Linked DNA regions of Arabidopsis thaliana. The main gene of each other region encodes a partner of the protein of the gene in region 4 in a complex. Each region holds a gene or a part of one and is shown on either strand. Other genes may lie near its edges. The genes, in order: TAF4B, TAF13, TAF7 and TAFII15.

The links.
Region 1: TAFII15 (region 4) and TAF4B share a complex: the UniProt entries of both Arabidopsis thaliana proteins name them as parts of the TFIID complex.
Region 2: TAFII15 (region 4) and TAF13 share a complex: the UniProt entries of both Arabidopsis thaliana proteins name them as parts of the TFIID complex.
Region 3: TAFII15 (region 4) and TAF7 share a complex: the UniProt entries of both Arabidopsis thaliana proteins name them as parts of the TFIID complex.

What each region holds. Positions count from the first base shown.
Region 1 is NC_003070.9:9,642,798-9,649,158, forward strand, and holds TAF4B (TBP-associated factor 4B), read right to left. Parts: upstream 4,580-6,361; coding exon 4,538-4,579; intron 4,528-4,537; exon of another isoform or gene 4,419-4,527; coding exon 4,352-4,418; exon of another isoform or gene 4,082-4,351; coding exon 3,849-4,081; intron 3,759-3,848; coding exon 3,657-3,758; intron 3,405-3,656; coding exon 3,344-3,404; intron 3,214-3,343; coding exon 2,507-3,213; intron 2,281-2,506; coding exon 2,156-2,280; intron 2,004-2,155; coding exon 1,916-2,003; intron 1,831-1,915; coding exon 1,692-1,830; intron 1,600-1,691; coding exon 1,544-1,599; intron 1,458-1,543; coding exon 1,401-1,457; intron 1,322-1,400; coding exon 1,199-1,321; intron 1,110-1,198; coding exon 1,059-1,109; coding exon of another isoform or gene 1,044-1,058; exon of another isoform or gene 975-1,043; coding exon 815-974; intron 706-814; coding exon 554-705; downstream 1-553. Other genes in the region: AT1G27710 (Glycine-rich protein family), read left to right, coding at 1-391; STZ (salt tolerance zinc finger), read right to left, coding at 5,505-6,188. UniProt on the Arabidopsis thaliana protein: TAFs are components of the transcription factor IID (TFIID) complex that is essential for mediating regulation of RNA polymerase transcription.
Region 2 is NC_003070.9:579,072-582,840, reverse strand, and holds TAF13 (TBP-associated factor 13), read right to left. Parts: upstream 2,217-3,769; 5' UTR 2,096-2,216; intron 1,772-2,095; 5' UTR 1,758-1,771; coding exon 1,655-1,757; intron 1,564-1,654; coding exon 1,526-1,563; intron 1,345-1,525; coding exon 1,285-1,344; intron 1,198-1,284; coding exon 1,123-1,197; intron 1,027-1,122; coding exon 922-1,026; 3' UTR 531-921; downstream 1-530. Other genes in the region: AT1G02670 (P-loop containing nucleoside triphosphate hydrolases superfamily protein), read right to left, coding at 2,542-2,614, 2,711-2,791, 2,874-2,962, 3,042-3,194, 3,316-3,420, 3,529-3,645. UniProt on the Arabidopsis thaliana protein: TAFs are components of the transcription factor IID (TFIID) complex that is essential for mediating regulation of RNA polymerase transcription. May be involved in polycomb repressive complex 2 (PRC2) mediated repression.
Region 3 is NC_003070.9:20,627,523-20,631,628, reverse strand, and holds TAF7 (TBP-associated factor 7), read left to right. Parts: upstream 1-1,936; 5' UTR 1,937-2,138; coding exon 2,139-2,253; intron 2,254-2,627; coding exon 2,628-2,761; intron 2,762-2,858; coding exon 2,859-2,978; intron 2,979-3,124; coding exon 3,125-3,475; 3' UTR 3,476-3,606; downstream 3,607-4,106. Other genes in the region: SCL33 (SC35-like splicing factor 33), read right to left, coding at 510-587, 811-953. UniProt on the Arabidopsis thaliana protein: TAFs are components of the transcription factor IID (TFIID) complex that is essential for mediating regulation of RNA polymerase transcription.
Region 4 is NC_003075.7:15,353,288-15,358,475, forward strand, and holds TAFII15 (TBP-associated factor II 15), read right to left. Parts: upstream 3,145-5,188; 5' UTR 2,904-3,144; intron 2,884-2,903; exon of another isoform or gene 2,517-2,883; intron 2,454-2,516; exon of another isoform or gene 2,437-2,453; 5' UTR 2,418-2,436; coding exon 2,325-2,417; intron 2,229-2,324; coding exon 2,164-2,228; intron 1,763-2,163; coding exon 1,700-1,762; intron 1,515-1,699; coding exon 1,463-1,514; intron 1,369-1,462; coding exon 1,318-1,368; intron 1,017-1,317; coding exon 936-1,016; 3' UTR 760-935; coding exon of another isoform or gene 684-759; 3' UTR 633-683; coding exon of another isoform or gene 552-632; 3' UTR 509-551; downstream 1-508. Other genes in the region: AT4G31715 (uncharacterized protein), read left to right, coding at 372-415, 552-632, 684-759. UniProt on the Arabidopsis thaliana protein: TAFs are components of the transcription factor IID (TFIID) complex that is essential for mediating regulation of RNA polymerase transcription.

The DNA.
Region 1 (6,361 bases), on a different chromosome or scaffold from region 4:
ACACTCCAGTGAGATTGGAAAGAGTATCCGACACGTAACCGGATTTAAGGGTGAACTCACAGCTGGTGGCTACGGCGGTGGAGGCCCGGGATATGGTGGTGGTGGATACGGTCCAGGTGGCGGCGGTGGTGGTGTTGTAATCGGTGGTGGATTTGGTGGAGGTGCCGGGTATGGTTCAGGTGGTGGTTTGGGTTGGGATGGAGGCAACGGAGGTGGTGGTCCAGGATACGGGTCAGGTGGAGGAGGTATTGGTGGTGGAGGAGGTATTGGTGGTGGAGTCATCATTGGCGGTGGTGGTGGAGGATGCGGAGGTTCATGCAGCGGAGGCGGTGGTGGTGGAGGAGGATATGGACACGGCGGAGTCAGCACGAAGGGATCAGGCAAAAACTAGAAAAAACATGCAGCTTGCTTTAGGTAGTGAAAGGAAGAAGAAATAAGGATGTACTTTAGCATCTTGATCATGTTTAGGAGTTTGTAATGGCATTAGTTTTAATGGAATAAGAACCTTTCTACAAAAAAAAATAAAGAATTGGTCCTATGTCTTTTCTTGGTTTCAAACATCCGAGCAGATTCTATTGTATACGCGATACAATAGCGTCGATCTTGACATCTGAGGCTCCTTTTCCACCACAGCGATCACATCCTTCACAGAGATTGACCGGACTACTTTTGGTAAACCTTGGTTCTTCCCAAATTGTGTACCACCTACATAAAGTTCGAATATGCAATTAGGAGCACGAAACACAAGAATAACCAGCAACAGAACTGAGAGATTTACTCTTTCAGATCATAGAAACGGGATTACCAATCTTACCAGAAAGTTTCTTGGAGTTTCTTCCTGGCCCTGGAGAAGATCTCTGACGTGCTTCAGCCATAAGTTTCCATTTTGAAAACCTATCATCTCCTCCAACGGCTGCACGAACAGCAACATTTGCAGCCTTGGCTCTCTCTTTATCTTCGTCCTTCTTATTTGCCTGACTTGTGATCAATAAACCTCTTTCAGTGTACGTATGTGTATATCTCCAAAGGTTTAGGTAGTTGGCTCAAGTTCTAAATACCTTCACTTCGTTTGAACGTTGGTCTTCTTTTTCAGTATCATTTTCTTTGTTCTACATCAATGAATATACAAAAAAAAAAAACTAGACATTACTACTGATAACTAAGACAAATAGATATTAAGCTCAGGACAAACCATTACCTTTTCTTCTCCAGAATGTTTCTTTTCCCATTCCTCTTTCACCTTCTGATTCATTTCATTAATTTCTTTCCGGATATCAGATGTGATAAAAGTCCGATTTCTACACTTCTCTGCATCAGTCCGCTGCAAAAGCTCTTGTAACTTCAGAAAGATTTAGGTACAACAAGATCTAAGGAGGCATGAGAAGAGAAAGTAGACTGACCTGCTTTGATATTCGTATTATATTAAACAGTAGTCCTCGCATCCTCTCCTCCACACACTGAATGCGCAAAGCCATGAGAAAAACGAAAACAAAAACAGGAAATTGAAGGCTAATAATTCCAAGAAAAGGTGTTAACATCTCACCAGAGACAAGCACCGCTCTACATCATGGTCTATATGCTTTAAACCACTTTTTCCCACTGTCATATATGAAAGCATACATAAACTTCTTCTCCAAGTGATTCCAAGTAAGGACCAAAGAAGCAGCTAAGATACGAGTTGAAACACAAACTAATTTCTGTCAGCTTTCTCTGCAGTGGAATTTTCTGCAAAAGCGTTCTTTCTTCCTCTCCATGCACAAGTCTTCGATATGCTTTAGAAACACGATCGTTCTTTTTAGGACCAGAATCTAATAATTGTTTTTCCTCTTCCTAGAACAGATGCAGAAAGTAATTTGGTTTATTGTTTCTCTATATCCAGGTTCAAAATGAGAAGTGTAGCAACTCGTAAACATACCCTGAGATTGATGCCACTGACTGCAGTGACATCATTAAACTTTTCAATACTTTCATCTGAAGAAGTCCCACATATTTTTTGCTTCTTTCTGTATATTAAAAAATACATAAGACTTCAATTTAGCAATTCTAAATTGTTAGTAAGGTAAAAAGGATATTATCAGAAAAGCAAAGAAAAAAGGAAGAGTAATTTATGGACGCTGTAAGTAGTTCATCTTTCACAAACCAGCCAGCTCATTACCTTGATGGTGGCAGCGAAGAACCTAGTGCCTCAAGAGGTTTCTTCTGACCAACAGAAGGCATTTTGGGTGTCACCGTAACATTAGCAATCTTGGGAATGGTCTCAGATGGGGCAGGCATATTAACCTGAAGTGTACACAAATAATTTTCACGTAAGATAGATAGTCCATTTACTCTTCACAACCAAAGTTCGAAGCCAGTACAAGGAGAAATAGAAGCCAGGGTGGTCCAAAATATAAGCAAAACGAAACCAAATGCAACATCGGTTGAAGAGAAATGGTCCCCCTATGAGCTTAAAGAGAAGATCAACCAAATTGAAATCTGTCTTTTGAAAGTATAATTTATAAGTTACCATCGTGCTAGAGTCCAGCTGTGTTGTCATTGAAGGAAAAACAGAGCTGGCAGAAGTGGTTGATGTGAATAAACCCATTTTAGAAGACTGCTTCTCCAAGTCATCATTTGAACTAATTGGAATAGCATTCTTCTGTTTCAGTGGAACATTAGTCACGCCTTGCTGCACCAAATAACGAGGTTTATGTGCCTGTTCAAAACTTTGATCAATCAATTTATGCTCCACATGGATCACTGATGAAGAAGGTCCCACTGTATGGTCCTTGGTGACTGATCCTTGCCAAGGAGCAGAATATAGAGGAAAGGATGAGTTCTTTGGGAAGTCGGATATAGGACCATCCTGAACCCTACTTGGACCATTTACAAAAGTTGGCCTCTCAAACTTGGGTACTGTCGTCATGTTTATTGTAGACTTGGTTGGTCCTCCAACACTGGCTATTCCCACATTCTGATTGTTTTCCCTATGCTGGAAATCAGGGAGCTTTGCTCTCGATGATGAACCAGGAGAAGTGACATTTGTCCCTGGGTATGGATTAAGACTTCCAGATTTGGTATCCATATGAAAAGAACTTGATGGAAGCTGCATGTGTTGCTCGGGATGCTTATTTAATCCCTGCACAGTAGTTGAACTGTTTAAGGTGCCTGAAGTTGTAGAAGACAGTTGGTTAACATGAACTTCACGAGGATCAGATTCTTGAGCAGTGAATTCTGCAGTTAATGATTGTATCTGGGATTAGTTTTGTATGCTACAAGGAAATCATAAGATAAGATCTACCAGAAAGTTAAGATGATCTATGATAATTGCAAAAGTAAATGGCATCAACTAAATAAGTTATACCAGCAGATTTAGACACTTTGTCATGGTTTGAGCGTCCAGGTACTTTGATCCCCATATTTCCCTGGTTACACATACAGTTCATTCTGAAACCAGTAAGCCACAATTCCAAGACAAGAAGTATTCAGCTTATACTATTAAAGTGAGAATTCTTTATGTTATTTCCTTTTTAATAAGGTTCAGAAGTGAGATTTCTTTCTCAGCACATGTTCATATACAGAGAAGGAAGCATATAAAACAAGAAACTCTCTTGGAGGCTGCTAAATGAAAATCATTAAAGTACTTATAAATGCTAAGAAAATGGAAAGGGTAATACCGGTTTTAACTGAGGCAGTTGGCTAATTACCGATCTGATTATCTGATCACCTACAAGATCTCTCAGTTGTCGCATGAACTCTTCCATTGTAAGTTCTTTTCTCTGCAATCAAGTATGAAAAGAAACGTAATGTATTAAGAAACTTCGATCAGAGTGCCAATTCATTCATGGATGTAAACTGTAAAGCCACACCTTGAGTTTATAATGCAGGTTAAGACAATGCGTCTTTTTGCCGGGTTGGTGGTCTACCACGGTACGAAGCAAATCAGTAACTCGTGCTAATCTAAGATTATGATTCACAGGGTCAACAGTCTTTTCCACCCAAGGAGTCTCTTTGCTACTCATCTTCTGCAGTTTCATATACCGAGGTTGCGGTTTTTCTGATTCATTACCAGTAGTATTGTTTATAGACTTCAAGTTACTTCCTTGGGGCACATGAGTTCAAGCACCAAAATCAATTATGAGTATGCTCTAATATTTTTCTATGACTAACCGTCACTAAAGCATCATCAAGAACTAACAATCTAATTGCATCCATCAACATTCAACAGTTAACATCAAGTGAAACATGAAGATACATGACAAACCACAAAAATACGACTCGTGAACCTAAATCACTAAAGAAATCTAAAGGCATTTCCCTGTTTTGATACATTCCACAGTTTCGCATATGAATTTTAGGGTCCAAAACGAACCTTCAATATCTCGAATCAGAGAGTCCTGAAACATTTGCAAGTCATCTTCCGAATGCTTAGAGTCAACCTAACGACACGATTAGCGGGAATCGACATTTAGGAGCTTCGTCCACAGAACAAGATAGCGCGTGGATTTTCGCAGACAGTACGGAAATGAAAATGAGAGTGGGAAATTCGAAACCTAACCTCTTCGTCTTCTTCGAGGAGCTTGACAATGGAGAGATCCATGGAGGAATCTCGCGGTACCAAACGTCAATAGCTCAAAACGAAGAGGGAATTTTCAAGGAAACGATTTGTTGTATCCAATAAGATTCCAAATTCCGCAAGTTTTTATATAAAGGGAGATTCTGCGAGAACACCGTGTCGTTTTTTCTTTTTGATAAAACACTGCGCGCCGTTCTGTTGATCTTCTTTTCGGTAGTTGTTTCTTTTGGATAAAACACTGCGCGCCGTTCTGTTCTTCTTTTCGGTAACTGGGCTTGTTCTTGTATATCAAAATTTATTTTTCTTGAATATAATGTTGGAGTTCTTAAACAGTTATTCATATTAGCATCAGACTTTTGCAAAAAAAAATTAATTAACTTTTAGATGAATTTTGATACACGTTTATGACCATTGAGTTTTGGACTTCCCGTAGATAATTCACCAAATTAAAGAAGGGATTATCTACGTTAATTAAACAGTGCTACTAAAGAAAACAAACGACCCGTCAAGAAAGGCTTTTTTCAATTGAAAGTTACGGTATTCTTTTGGTAAAAGAAAAATGAAAGTTGAGTTTTCTTTGGCAGTCTTCCGTAAGATATCACAACTCTTTTTATTTGCTTAGAGCTTTCCAAAATATAAGAAAGAACAATATGTGGATGGTAGTAGAAACTAGAACGTTCTTGATTATGCTTAATTGTGTTATAAATTTTTTGAAAAAAACAGAACCAAAAACAGAGTTGTAGTGGTGTCACTTTATGCTTATTCAGATAAAAAAAAGACTCAACGCGTTTGTAAAATATGTGGTAAAGAATCGGTTTAATAATTTTTAAAATGAAAGAACAAGAAGAATTGGAATCAGTCAAAGTCCAATTTGGTATGTACAGTCAACAAATTCCTACACAACTCTCAACAGTATACAAACGAAATCTTATCGTCTAAGTAAATTTCCTTAAAGTTGAAGTTTGACCGGAAAGTCAAACCGAGGCTTCTTCGCCGGCATAGGGCTCATGACTTCGTCGTCTCCGTTGACCATCGAGAATTCAGGGATCGGAGGGATGTTGAGGTCAAACCCACGGTGGCTACTGCTAACGTGGCTAGTGGACCCCGCACCTTCGGAGTTGGACACGCTACTAGTGTTGATGTTGTTGTTTCCTTCGTAGTGGCACCGCTTGTGTCCGCCGAGAGCTTGACCGGAAGGAAAAGACTTGTTACAGATGGTGCAAACGTGTGATTTCCCACTTCCAGTAGTCACGGCGGATGTGGTTGTCGCCGACGAGGTTGAATGATCATCTCCTCCGCCGGAGAGAGTCTGTGATAAGTTCTTACGGTGGCTTGCCTTGTGACCACCGAGAGCTTGGTAAGAAGAGAACGTCTTGTCGCAGACGCTACACTTGTAGCTCAACTTCTCCACCGCCGGAGGAGGAGGAGGCTGACGGTTGTCGCGAGCGAGAAGCATGAGGCAAAAAGCTAGATACTCTTCCTCAGTGAGGTTTTGGTGGTGGAAATCGGATCTTGATCTCTTAGATCGCTTACCCTTTGTCCAGTGCTCGACTCCATGGAAGACTGAAGAATCTTCGAACAAAGGAGGAATCGGAGAAGCTAATCTTGGTGATGTAAGAGCCTCGAGCGCCATTAAGTTAAAGATTCTGAGGATTTCTTGTCTCTCGAGTTTTAGTTTGAAGGTTGCTTGTGAATTGCAGTGAAGAAATTGTTTAATTGCTGAAGAAGAAGTAATGAAAGTGTGTGTAAATATATAGTAGTAGGTGGAGTGTGGAGAAGGAAGTTGCGTGACAAGTGGTAGGAAAG
Region 2 (3,769 bases), on a different chromosome or scaffold from region 4:
GTCTCCTCCTTCCACATCACTATAACATTCATCTTCTTCCTCATCAATATCATCATCATATAAGGACATGGCTGATCCATATCCCGAGATTCCTGATGATGATGAAGATGAAGCCGCCGTGAAAACCTCCATAGTCTCTGATAAACGACCCTCGGAATCATCATCATCTTCATTATCATTATCACCATCGTCTCCTCCCATTTCTGTCGCTGGCAGAGGAGGAGGAGCCGGAGGGAGAACAATTGTGTTAGTAAAAGTTGACGATGGCATTATCGTAATTTCGAAACGGAGTTTACGTACGGACTTAACGACTCGCCGCCAGAACCTGGTGTTGAAGGGTTTTCTCCCCGGCGGCGACGAAGCATGAACATGACGACGGAGAACATGTGCATCCCACGTGATGACTTTTTCTTCTTCATGCTCGTGTTGTTTATTTGCTCTATCTCTAATTGATCACAATGATTTTCTTTAGTTGGTAATTGATCACCATTCTTATTTATTGTTTCCATGGTAAAATAATGAATCAAAATATCAGAAAGATGACGAAAAATTTAGAGAAAAACAAAAGTCTTATAATGATGACTAATTTTATAATTATTGCGGTAATTAATTTAATGAAAGAAACAAAAATCGGGTGGTTATTCTAAATTTTTAGGGTTTCGAAATTCCTGACTCAAGAAAAATTAAAGGTCGTCCGTAGATATATACGGGATGCTAGATAATGGGCTTTCTTCTAATGGGCCTACATTTAATATGAGTCGGCCTTGTGCAAGATTTTTTTTCACCTTTTTTAAGTCAACACACTTTTTTTTTGCTACTGTGCTTCGAATTCTGATTACAACCTAAAACGCTGTCCCTAGTCCGGCATCCATGAGGTTCCTCTTACCTAGCATTTGTTCCTCCCGTTGAGGAAAAGCAAGATCAATCAACGAGTTCCTTTTCGTCGACATCAAAAGCTTTGCGTGCTTGTTTCAGCTCTTCCTGCATCGCCAACAGTTCTCTACAGCGGTTCAGTTTTGGCAAATCCTGCATAAATCAAAGACGCCAAAGTTTCGGATATAGAATACAAAACCATAAACCATCTCAATCATCGATTGTGTACTTTTTAAAAAGAATTTTTACCTTGCGGATAAGATACAAGAAATCATCAACTAGAAGTCTTCCTCGCTTTGAACCAATTTCTTGAGCTTTATGTGTCTGCCATTGAAACATCACTTGTTAGCTAATATCTCTCCGCTTGTAATGTAAAACATGAATCATTCACAAAAAGAAAAAGCTCACTACCAAATCTGTGACGTATTCCACAACAATGTCTTCTACAAGCGCCACAGACTCTGGAAGAGGCTAAATACAGAGGAGTTTTGGATCAGTTTCAGGTGGTAAAACACTAAAAGATGTTACACGACCAAGAACCCTTTAAAGCAAAGATTCTCTACCTAATTCGTTACTTGTATTGGAATGAAACTATATCTACAAATACGGTTCATATGGCAACAAAATAGTAATGAAGAGGATAGCGGCTTACGTTTTGCTCGTCGCCAAATCCATACATCATATGCTGCACTGAAAAATCAACAAAAGCACCAAAACCATTGTTACCAGAAGAATCACAAAATGAAGAATACAAAAATCTGGTTTTAACTAAAGACTTTACATTCTTTTTGAAAGAGAGTTTTGCGCTTTTCCTGTGGCTGAGAAGTTCCCGCAGCTTTCGATTTAGACGATGATGACGCCGCCGCTGCTGGTGTGTTACTCATCTCTTCTTCTTCTTCTGATAATCAAAATCCAGGAGAGCAAAATAATAGAAAAATAAGTGAAATTCCTCTACCGACAAAATCCAATTGAGTCAAATACTAACCCTAGGTGAAAATTTTCAAAAAAGAAAAAACAGTGTAATCTCAACTAGAAAATGAAATTCCGAGCCTATATTCTAGATTTCTACCGCAATCAAAACCAGAGAGCTACCGGAAAGTTGTATTCCGGTACAGTACAACAACCAACGGAGTTAAATCGAATAAGGTTCTTTATCCAAATATTTGTCGTCATGGAAAAGGAATGAAAATTGAAAAGGGAATAGTGAGAGCAGAGAGCTCACCGTAGATTGATCGACGGGAGTAGCAGAGGTGGTCGTTGCAAAATCGGCGATGAAGATGATGAGAACGAAGAAACGGGGACTTGTTCACTGATCTCTCTCTCTCTCGTAGAAGAAGCACATTGCATTACATACGAAGTAATTGGGCTTAATAAATAGGCCCATTTATATTAAACCAGCCCATAATCTAAACCAGAAACCCGTACACTAGTCGACCGACATTGTAACTAAGTTCTCACGGTATGGCTCAAACCGGCCATGGCCTCATGCTCAATATTCTTCGGGAGAAGGAAAAGTTTGTGATCCGATTCATATACAATCTATCCGGTGCTCATCATATTACACAAGTATGTATCAAATCTTTTAGCTTGAGCCTAATTTTGTCCTGTCAAGACTCTTTTTTCTATCTATACAAATTTTCTATCATGTTCTTCATCTACAAGATTTGGTTATGCGAACAGGGACTTGATATCGTCTTCTCCCAGCTTTTGTACAACGGCCTCTTCAGAGTCACCTAACGTACTGTAACAAAGCAAATATGTCTTCATATAGGCTTCATACAGTTGACAATAAGAAACCAGCAAAGTTGAGAGAAGCGTATCGTTTAAAATAAGAAACCTTTCAAACAAATCTTCCTTCTTCTTTTGAAGCGTTAGTATCTTTTCCTCTACTGTTTTCTCCATTATGAATCTTACAACCCTGTCACACAACCAAATGTTTCTTCTTTCTTCCCCCACCAAAACAACATACAGTATATTGAAGGACAACTCAAAAATATAACCTGACAGGCTTGCACTGTCCGATCCTATGTATTCTGTCCTGTGCTTGCCTCTCAACCGCTGGGTTCCACCACGGGTCCATCATGAACACCTATACAATCAAACACCCGAATGTCAGTGAATAAAACATGTTCTAGGAGCAACTGTTTTATAAGTTGTACACTTCTTACATGCGAAGCGGCTGTTAGATTTAGAGCAACCCCTCCAGCTTGCAAGCTCATTAATAAAACTCTGCAATCTGGCTCTTCTTTAAAATTTTTGAGTGCAGCATCTTTAGCTGCCTTGGACATGCTTCCCACCAGTTGAACACAGCTAACCCCAGACTGCGTTGTACAAAATGAGTCAATCATTTTTATTCAATGTCTCATTATGATTAAAGAGAATGTTAAAGGAGCACAGATATAGTAGTAGTAGCATTTTGTAGTTGGTTGCGCTTGAAATTACCTTCCCCAAGGCGTAACTTATCAGGTCCAAGAATGATGTGAACTGGCTGAATACTATTGCTTTGGCAGACCAATCTCTTTCAACCATGAACCTGATTTCTTCTCTCTGCATACAAATTTTTTTTATCACCAAATGGTTAGATAAAGCCTCCAATCTCCAAAGAAACTTTAAGCGTGGGAGAGACAGAAGCTGTAGATCTCAAAGGGCACATACCAAAGCCTCAATCTTTGTACTTGTTTTAAAATCATCGAGGTTTATCCGATTTAAAATGCTAGAGGCTCTAAATCCTTTAAGCTTTGTCTTGCTTGCCTGATGTTCACTAGAAGTCACCTTCAAAGTAAGAGAACCAAAGACATATTAACCGAACAAGTTAAGTCCAACATTAGTCATCCGATGATTCTTTAAGAAAGTGTAAAATGGTGGCAGCTATTTCCAGAAGATACAGTTACTGAGA
Region 3 (4,106 bases), on a different chromosome or scaffold from region 4:
ACTACCATATAGAACATCTTCATAAGAACTCTAATTACTTCTTTGATGTCTTCAATTCTTTAGATTCACTGCTAAACCTCAACAACTTCAATTAACTCACTCATAGTGTGTTCAGACATGGAACATATCATCATGTATCCTTTTCCTTAAGCGACTAAAAACTATGAGGTCTCACCAGGTACTAAATTCTAAACGACTAATCCACCTAACGACACCGAAAACTAGTGGTTTAAGACCACAAGTATGCTCACTGTCTATTGTCATGTCACAGAAAATTACTATCTGAAAAATATGGAGCCTAAATTTAATTTATGAAATCAGTTTTTAAGAAGATTCTCATAAGGCCCTAGTATCCATGAGAAGACACAAAGAGATGACCGAAAGAAAAAGGAAAGGCAGATAAACGTAGTAAACAAATCAAGAAAGAAGATGTGAAAATAGGGATATTTTCTAATCAGAACATAAGTAAAAATCAAGTGTTGGTTGTCCTATTTACAAAACATGCTCACCCGGTATAATAATCCCTTGGCAGGTAAATGTCCTTGACAGGACCAAACTGCTCAAACGACTTCCTGAGATCTTCTTGCCTGAAGAAAAGGACAAGGAGTAAGAAGAGAATTACAATTTGCTAAAAGCCAAGAAATGAAGATACATTGACGTCAACTTTTTGAAAACCTTTACAGTAAAGATAAGAGAACATCATGCCAAAATATGCTAAGAGGTGTCAAGTCTTCTTGCTTAAGAGGTGTGCAAACAATAACATCATCCACAATGGCTGAAGAAAATAATAGAGAAGTCAAAAGTATGTACCTGCAATCATGGCGTAGATTGCGAACCAAAAGACTGGTCGGGAGGTCCCTGCTACGACCTCCATATCGGCCTCTAGGGCTTGGGCTTCGACCCCTCCTCCCATAACCCCTAGGTGGTGACGGAGTGTAGCTCCTTCCCCTCATTGAGTCAAGCTTCAATCTCTCTATCAGTCAGTCAACACAAACTAGATTAGAAAATACACCAAAAGAGGTTGGATATTTAAGAGAGAAGAGACCACAAACACAAGAGCTATAACACCAGCGTCTAAGAGAACTTTAAAGAAGCAATCAATCTAGAAAGATCATATTTTCTAATTGAATAGTAAATTATATCAAAATAAGATCACATGCAATTCAGGTAGAGATCGAATCAGCTCAATTTCAAAAGATAGGAGCTAAGAAACGTTATATGTGAATAGGCACAAAAGATCACAACTTTCGTCAAACTTACTTAAGATGAACGATTCAATCCTTTATATCGATGTATAGACATAATAATTGCCTGATCTACAGTTTTTTCCGTCACGGGATCTTTCACCGGACTCAAAAAGTTGTACGGGCAACGAAGTTGTTTACAATTGAAGGAATCGAAGTCGGAAAAGCCAAGTTTATTCGACAGAGAAAGAAGAAGATACGGGTATATACGGTTGGGAAGAAGAGCAAAATATCAGGGATAAGACTTACCGGTGAACGAATCTCGGTGGTGAGGAACGACGGAGAAGTGATGCTGCAAGAATTGGAGAAGATTGATCAATGAACGACTTATTTATTAGGGTTTCTTTATATTATTTACGTTTTACATTTAACCCCCTCAAAATTATTTTAAAGTATTAAAATCCCCTTAAAGTTTTCTATTTGATAGATGCTCCATTCCAATTTCTGGTAATTAAATTATCTTCCTTTTTATTATCATTATACATTTATACTTAGTGAGATCAATTATCTAAGAGGAACTAAAAATGTAAAATTCAATAGAATTAAATAGCAAATTGGTGATTTTTCACCAATTGTTGGGTTCTGTTTGTACCTTTTATAATTATTTTGGTCAAAACATAAATCTTGAAACCTTTAGGGAGGGAAATAAAATAATAAATTGTTAAAAGGATACTTCTAGAAGGTTTATCTTATAATGTCTCTCTCTCTCTCTCTCTCTCTCTCTCTCTCTAACATAACAAAGAATTCGTGTTTCAGTTCAATAGATTCTCGTCTCTTTTCGACTTACGACATCAACAGACCGAAGTATACGTATTCGATACGATCTGCGTTCGCGAATTCACGTTTCTGGATTGATTAAGAAGAAGAATTCAAGTCAAGCTGTTGGTATCTACAATGGAAGAACAGTTCATACTTAGGGTTCCACCGTCTGTTTCAGAACGAATTGATCGGCTTTTAAGCGAGGATGCTTCTACTTCCGACGAAATCCCTTTGGATTTGTTTTTTTCAGGTACCAATTTTTAAAGGGTTTCTCTCTTTTTTGGCACATTACATCTGGGTTAAAGTTTCATCCTTTTTCTTAAATTTATGTCCTTTAGTCGTCAATCAATGAAATTAGTGTCTGGATCGTTTCGGGGATTGCTCCTTGTGTCACGTGATGAGTTCTTGAATGTTGGTTTGCCCAAAAGACATTCTTGAATCTGATTAAGGATCAAAGCTTGTGATTTGTGTCTCCTGGATCAGCTTAATGTTGTGAATTGTCTGTTTTGTCAAAGAAGCCAAAAGACATTCTTGTTGCATCATTATAGTTTGTCTAGAAATCCATTTGCATATTGTCTCTGGAGCAAACTTGATACGTAATGTTTGTGTGAACTGAATTTGCAGAGGATGGGAGAAACGGGACGTTTATGATTGGAAACGACGAGTTCCCGGCTTCTCTGCTTGATCTCCCTGCAGTTGTTGAGTCTTTTAAAACTTATGATGATTGTGCATTAGTCAAAACTGCTGATATTGGGCAGGTAAAATCAAGTTACTTGATTCATCTTTTACTTATATGCGTTAACTTCTGTAATTTTGGACTAAAACTCAATATGGATGCTTTGATTTGGCACACAGATGATCATGGTTAGGGAGCCTGGTGATCCTGCGCCTAATACAGTTGAATACAGACATGGTCTAACTCCTCCAATGAAGGATGCTCGAAAGAGGAGATTTCGTCGAGAGCCTGACCTTAATGTAATTTTCATTTGTTGTTATCTATCCATCAACATTGTTTCACTAATACTTGTGATTATGATTGAAAGTCTGTAGTGAAACGTATCTTTTGGAACTCCAAAGTTCTTTCTATTAAGTTAACATATTGATTTGCCAAAATGTTGCAGCCGGAGCTTGTACAGCGGGTTGAGAGAGACTTGTTGAATATATTGAGTGGCGGAACGGTAGAAAATGTAAGCTTTTCTTTCTATTTTCGACACATGATGTGTCTATATTTGCTCCTTGGATTTAGTAACTTCATTTATTTGAACTTTTTTTGGTGTAGGTACATGAGCAAGAGGAACCAGCTACGAACGAGAATGCTAGTAATGCAAGTAAGAAAGTATCTTCTTCTTCACCTACACCTGTTGAAAAGCCTGAAGCTCCTGAGACAGGCACTAGTAATCCAACAGGAGTTGAACCGGAGAGAAGTGAATCAGAAGATTCTGATGATTCAATGTGAGTTTATTATTATATAAAGAGATTTTTCTTACGAAAGCTTAGAGTTTGCGCAAGTCCTGTCTTAGAAAATCATGGATAATTATGTCCCCATGATTTGATGATGTCTTGTTCGACCTTTTTCAATGGAAAAGTTGTTTTGCGTTCAAACTACACCAAAGATTCTGTTTATTCTAGTTCAATTTCGGTTATTTCTTGAAGACAGTTTCAGGAATGAACCAAAGATTGATAGTAAAAGAAAAACCTTAGACTTAAAGAACAAGAACCAAGACATTGTTGATGCTAAACCTATCAAAAGCTGGAATCTAATCCAAACACCAACCATCGCCTTCATTAAACTTTAAGGTTTTTCTTCCGGGTCATTTTCTACAATGCCAAGAATAAGAAAAGAAAATTGACACTCTGCCTAGAAATTGAGATTCTAATTATCGGTCCCTCCATTTTCTATCCTGAATAGTGAATACGTGCAACCATGTCTACCTTTCATTACATACACAATTATGAATTATGTCATTTTTCAAACAAAACAACCCGAAGCTAAAACAAATGTGTAGAGCCTCGTAAGTAGTTGCCGTCACGATCTTCCTCTTCATCTTCTTCGTGTTCTTTCTATAAATTCTTTTTAGTCTTTGTATCAAGAAGCTTCCACAG
Region 4 (5,188 bases):
AAATTGGACAGAGACTTTACATATTACAGACAAAAAGTCGGCATATAGAATCATTCCAGACAACGTTTATGGTCCTGTATACATATAAGGAGAATGTGCTCAGAAACCACAAGTACCTATGTCATATAAAAAACTTGAAACTTACCTTAACTTTTCAGCCTCAAAACATTTAAAACAAAACCGACTCTGAAAGAAAGACAGAAACAGAGAGAGACAGAGAGAGTGTGTACGAGGTGACACTCGAAACCGGGAAGTAGTGGCTGGAAGAAATGCGGATTGGTCGGAGACTGAAGTGGAGGATTCACCATTTCAAACAATTCAGGAGGAAAAAAACTCAAGAATCTTCAACTTTCTTTGTGATGAAAAAACCAATGTGTTCTTGTCTTCAATGTAGCGTTGTAAAAGCTGACGAAAGGTTACTAGATTTTTCAGATTGTTGTCTTCTTTCATGTATTTCTAGGTAAAGAATATTCGGACATGAGAAAGTGAAAAAACAAAACAGAACAGCTTTTTTCAATTGCTAAATTCCAAAAAGTAACTTTATTATTGAGATGCCGCGGTTACAAAGGGGGATTGTCTAAAGGTATACAACAGAGTGTGGCAATGTTTCAAGTTAGATCAGAAGCACTTAGGTTCATCATTGCTAGATGGAAAATATACTTTGTGGTTTTTCAATCCTACAGTATCCAGTTAATCACAAGGATGGATACTTATCTTATTTTCACGACTTGGAGACTTGCAAGAATGGTGGATAAGTGATGTAGAACCCCAAAAATCACCAGAGAACAAACAACAAACGAATATACATGTAATGTAGTAATTGAGGACTAGCAAGACAAGTGAGTTTTGTTTTTAACTGAAACACAACAGAGAATCAGGGATCTGAGACACATGACCGTCCTTACTAGGCAAAGATTTTGAGGAATTCCTGGTTTCTATTCGTCCCTTGTTGCAGGGTCCATTCCAGTCGAAGGGCTATCAGCAAAATATTCTGGATGCTTCACGTTCACACCATACTGCCAAACCGAGTTTACTCACGAGTTAGCTTCCCACTACTAGTTAAGACGAGACTGTAAAACCTTACCTATCTACCTACACTACTGCAATACACAATATTATAACCACTAACTCTAAAACATGTTTCTAAGCATTTTATGTTGATTCTGTGATACTGAATTAGTTTCATGCCATGTGTATTTAGAGTAATTTGCAGCTTAAGTAAAAAAAAACAAGAGACATCTACATTTTCTTCTCATACATTGGAGGTCTGAGGGACAACAATACCAGAAGCATGAACTTAGAGGAAGAAGCATTTACCTCACGCAAAGCTTTTGAAAGATCTTCCATTGTCAATACCAAACGCTTATCCTGTTAAGGAAACATTAATATTCATGTCATCATCCAAAACATATTTGTTGCAGTCTTGCAGAGGGAAAAAAAACAAAAGGGAGTCAGATGTTACCTTTTGCTGTTTTTTGTCTTTCACAACTGGTGCTGGTCTAGCCTTGCAATGCCTGTATATAATTGACAATTTTTATTATTCAGGAGCTTATATCAATGCTTTTAGCTTCTGGGAAAATCTAGCGTAGACATCTTTTCATCTCATCTACTCAGAATGGGCAGTGTCTTCTCTTTCTCAATTACAAGTCAAATATGAAAAAGGGTATGATAATTCGTTGTGAAGAGAATGAAAACTTACTGAAGGGCGTCACTGGCAACATCTGCAACAAACTTTTGTGTAGCCACAGCAACTAGCCTTATCCTGTCAAACAAGTAAACAAAAAAACAGAATATTGGCAAGAATAGATACAGGAAAAGATTATGACAGGAGTGAAAAACTCAAAAACTAAAATATACCAATATTCAGCACTCAATTTGATAGAAAGAGAAGAATCCCCTCATTATTCTACGCATTCAAACTGAACTCTGAAGTTTACATTCAAATTGCCAATCTTTTTCAGTGCTAGTCCAACATAGACTTCTTTATCATACCATTTTACAGGAATGTTAAACAGGGCAAAACCTTAATCCAAAATGATTTAAACCAAGCCATTGATCTAACTACTGGTCACCCATTCTAAGACCCAACAATGATTCCATTCAATATCAACTTATCTGCTCTTTCATTGTAAGTATCAGATATAACTTGTCGGAAATACCTACAATCGTACGTCGGGGCACTGAAATCCACTCTTAGCCAAGTAGTGCTCCACTAAATCATCAGGAATCTGAAAGAAAAATAAAAATCCAGAACTCAATCAATACCCAAATTTCAGTCATGTAGAGCCGAGAAAAAGTTGTAACTAGTACAAAGGAAAGTATACAGTAGGAGTATAATCCATCAGAGAAGCAAGGAACTCTGTAAGAGCAGCATCATCTTCATGCTTTGCCTCACCAGATTGTTGGCCGTGATTCATCTCTCCCACCACCAGAGTACTGAAGCGAAGCAACAACTGTAAGTAAAGAAAGGTTTTCAAAATCAAACATTAATAAAGAACCTCTGAACTAGTATCTACCTCAAATTAGAAACTTGTACGAAACCTAAGAAAGAATGTCATGACTCATGACACAATTATACCAAAATAAGTTTTACGAGAATTTTGACTACTGAAACTTTCCAGCTCAATTTACTAATTCTCTGTTCCAGATTTGTCTTCTCGTATGACATTATTGTTTCTAAGTAACGAACTATTCCTGATTTGTGTTGCAAAAGACCACACCAAGTTTTGAATTGAACGACGTGAAGTAAACTAAGAGGGCTCTGATTCATCAAGAAACAGCATTCATGAGCAAAATTCGATACCACCCAAGAGAAAATTCAACCGAAAAAAAGACAAAATTGAGCTGAAATTGAAACCAGAGACATAGAGGAAAAATTCAATAAAGTAAGCGATAATGCGAACCTAAACGAAGCAGCAACGGAAGAGAATTGAGCTGAGACGAGGCAAATCAATGGTAAAGAAGAGAAGTTTCGACGGATTTCGGGCGGGTAGAAGAAAGGATCGGAGATCGACTAGTGAGTCTCCGTTGAAACCCTAATCCTCCGACTGGTCCAACTCAGAGCCATCTCCGCCGGTCAGATTTTTAAGAGTTGAGAAAGAATCGTTAGATAGACTAATGGGCCTATTGATTTAAACTATGGCCCAAACTTAAGGAAGTATTCTTCACATATGGCCCAAATTTAGGTTTTTTTTTTTCCTTTTTCACAATCCATTTTTTATTCTCTTCCCATAAAATCAATATTTGAGTTTAGTGTATCTAAGAATATCGAAACGAAATTGTCAATCAATAAAATCTCAAAAATGTAACTTTAGTGTATAGTGTTGTACAATCTGCTGTATAGTGAGCTTTAATTTGATGGGAGACAAAGAATATGACAATGAAAGCACTAACTCCATCTAGACGGAATATTTAATGACCAACAAAAGCAGTTTTTGTTTTTCTCATTTGTCAACTCATAGTCATTAGAAAAAGACTTAAGGGTAGTTTTATATATTCTACGAGAAGCAGGTGGTAAATTCAGTGAAGAAGGATTGGACTAATTCTCTCCATAAAAACATAAAAGAGAGATATGTATATGATGATACTTTATTTCACGGGATTCCATTTGTTTGTTTGTTTTTGGTTAATGGTGGATTCCATTTGTAGGTAAATTAATGGATAAATACCAGATAAATAAATCCATATTTTCTCAAATATGCTTCTTAGACGCTACGTATTATGTATTTACATTTAAATCATTTTCCAAAAGCTTTTTTTTTTTTGTATAAAACCAAAATAAGAGACAGTTTATTCAAGAAGCTAGTTTACCTAGTTATATCAAAGGGGCCAATCAGAATCTAATGTAAACTATATCCAAGTCTCATTGTCATGGAAAAAGGTTTGATTTAATTTGACGATTTTTAAAAAACGGTTGTTCAATCGCGGCATAGGAATATTTTTGGCTATAGGCTAGGACAAGCTATATGGATTGATTTGAACTTTCTCTTTAATTCTTTTCATCAAATTATGGAATATTATATTAAAACCTAGATATTTTAAAGAAAAAGAAAAATTGTATGCAAAAATTTAATTTACTTTTGGAATACGGATTCTAAATTTTTTTGTTGTTTAAAATAGTAAAGAAAAATAAAATATATCAATGAAATCAGGAAGAGGCAAAACATGGTGGCCAATCAAATCGGTTTACTTCAGGCGATCGACGAGCATTTCTAACGAAGCAATGTTCATGTGATCTCAATGGAATATCGACTGTTGTCAATGTGATCGTAACCATACTTTTAAGTTCTGCACTGTATTCTAATTTCTACACAACTATGTTATCTCAATTTTTAACTACTTCCTTCATTATTTACCTCCAGCAAGTGAAAATTAAAAGACCGATAGACAAACAAAAATACATAATCTAGTAAAACAAGTACTAAAAATCTAACATGGTAGAAGAGAAATTGTGTATGTAGGTTCTTTGCAAATAAATCGTGTGTATACTGTATAGACTGATAGACTATTCCTTGTTTGGGGAAAAATGGCTATACACTTATAATATTTTAGAAGTGTCACAAAATAGAAAACTATTTTAAAAAGTAACTTTCTTGGATCGAAAAAATAATAATATGATATATGGTAGGGAAATTTTTACTAATTTTATTAAATTTAATAGGAAGTATCATAAGCACCCATATAGATATGCATAAGTTTGAAACAGAAAATTTGTAGGTACGGTTAGTCGGCTATAAGAGTGGCTTCAATTTGCTTGATGGATTTTTTGTTTTGATAAAATGGTTTGTAGATGGACTTTATTAATTTCAAACATACATTACACTAGTTAAGATAACACCACTTAATCAAGTAATATTTGTATAATTGTAGTTAACTGAAAGTCGTGACTCATGTGTTGTTGTAGGGTTGATTACTACTTTGGCTTTAGATTTCCTCTTTTTTAATCGTACTTTAGAAAATTTGTGGTGCATAATTAAGAAAATTTGTAGTGCATAGTTCCTTATCTAGAAGAAGAGAAGTTTGTACGTCACCAAACACCCCCCAAAAACTCAAGTTGCGAATATGTTCGTTTGCTTAATTAAATATATGTTTTCTCCCATCCAATTTAATATCATATTTTTGTCGCTAATCTTCAATTAACTAGATTACTTATGATAAAGTTGGAATATAAACAGCAATACATGTAATA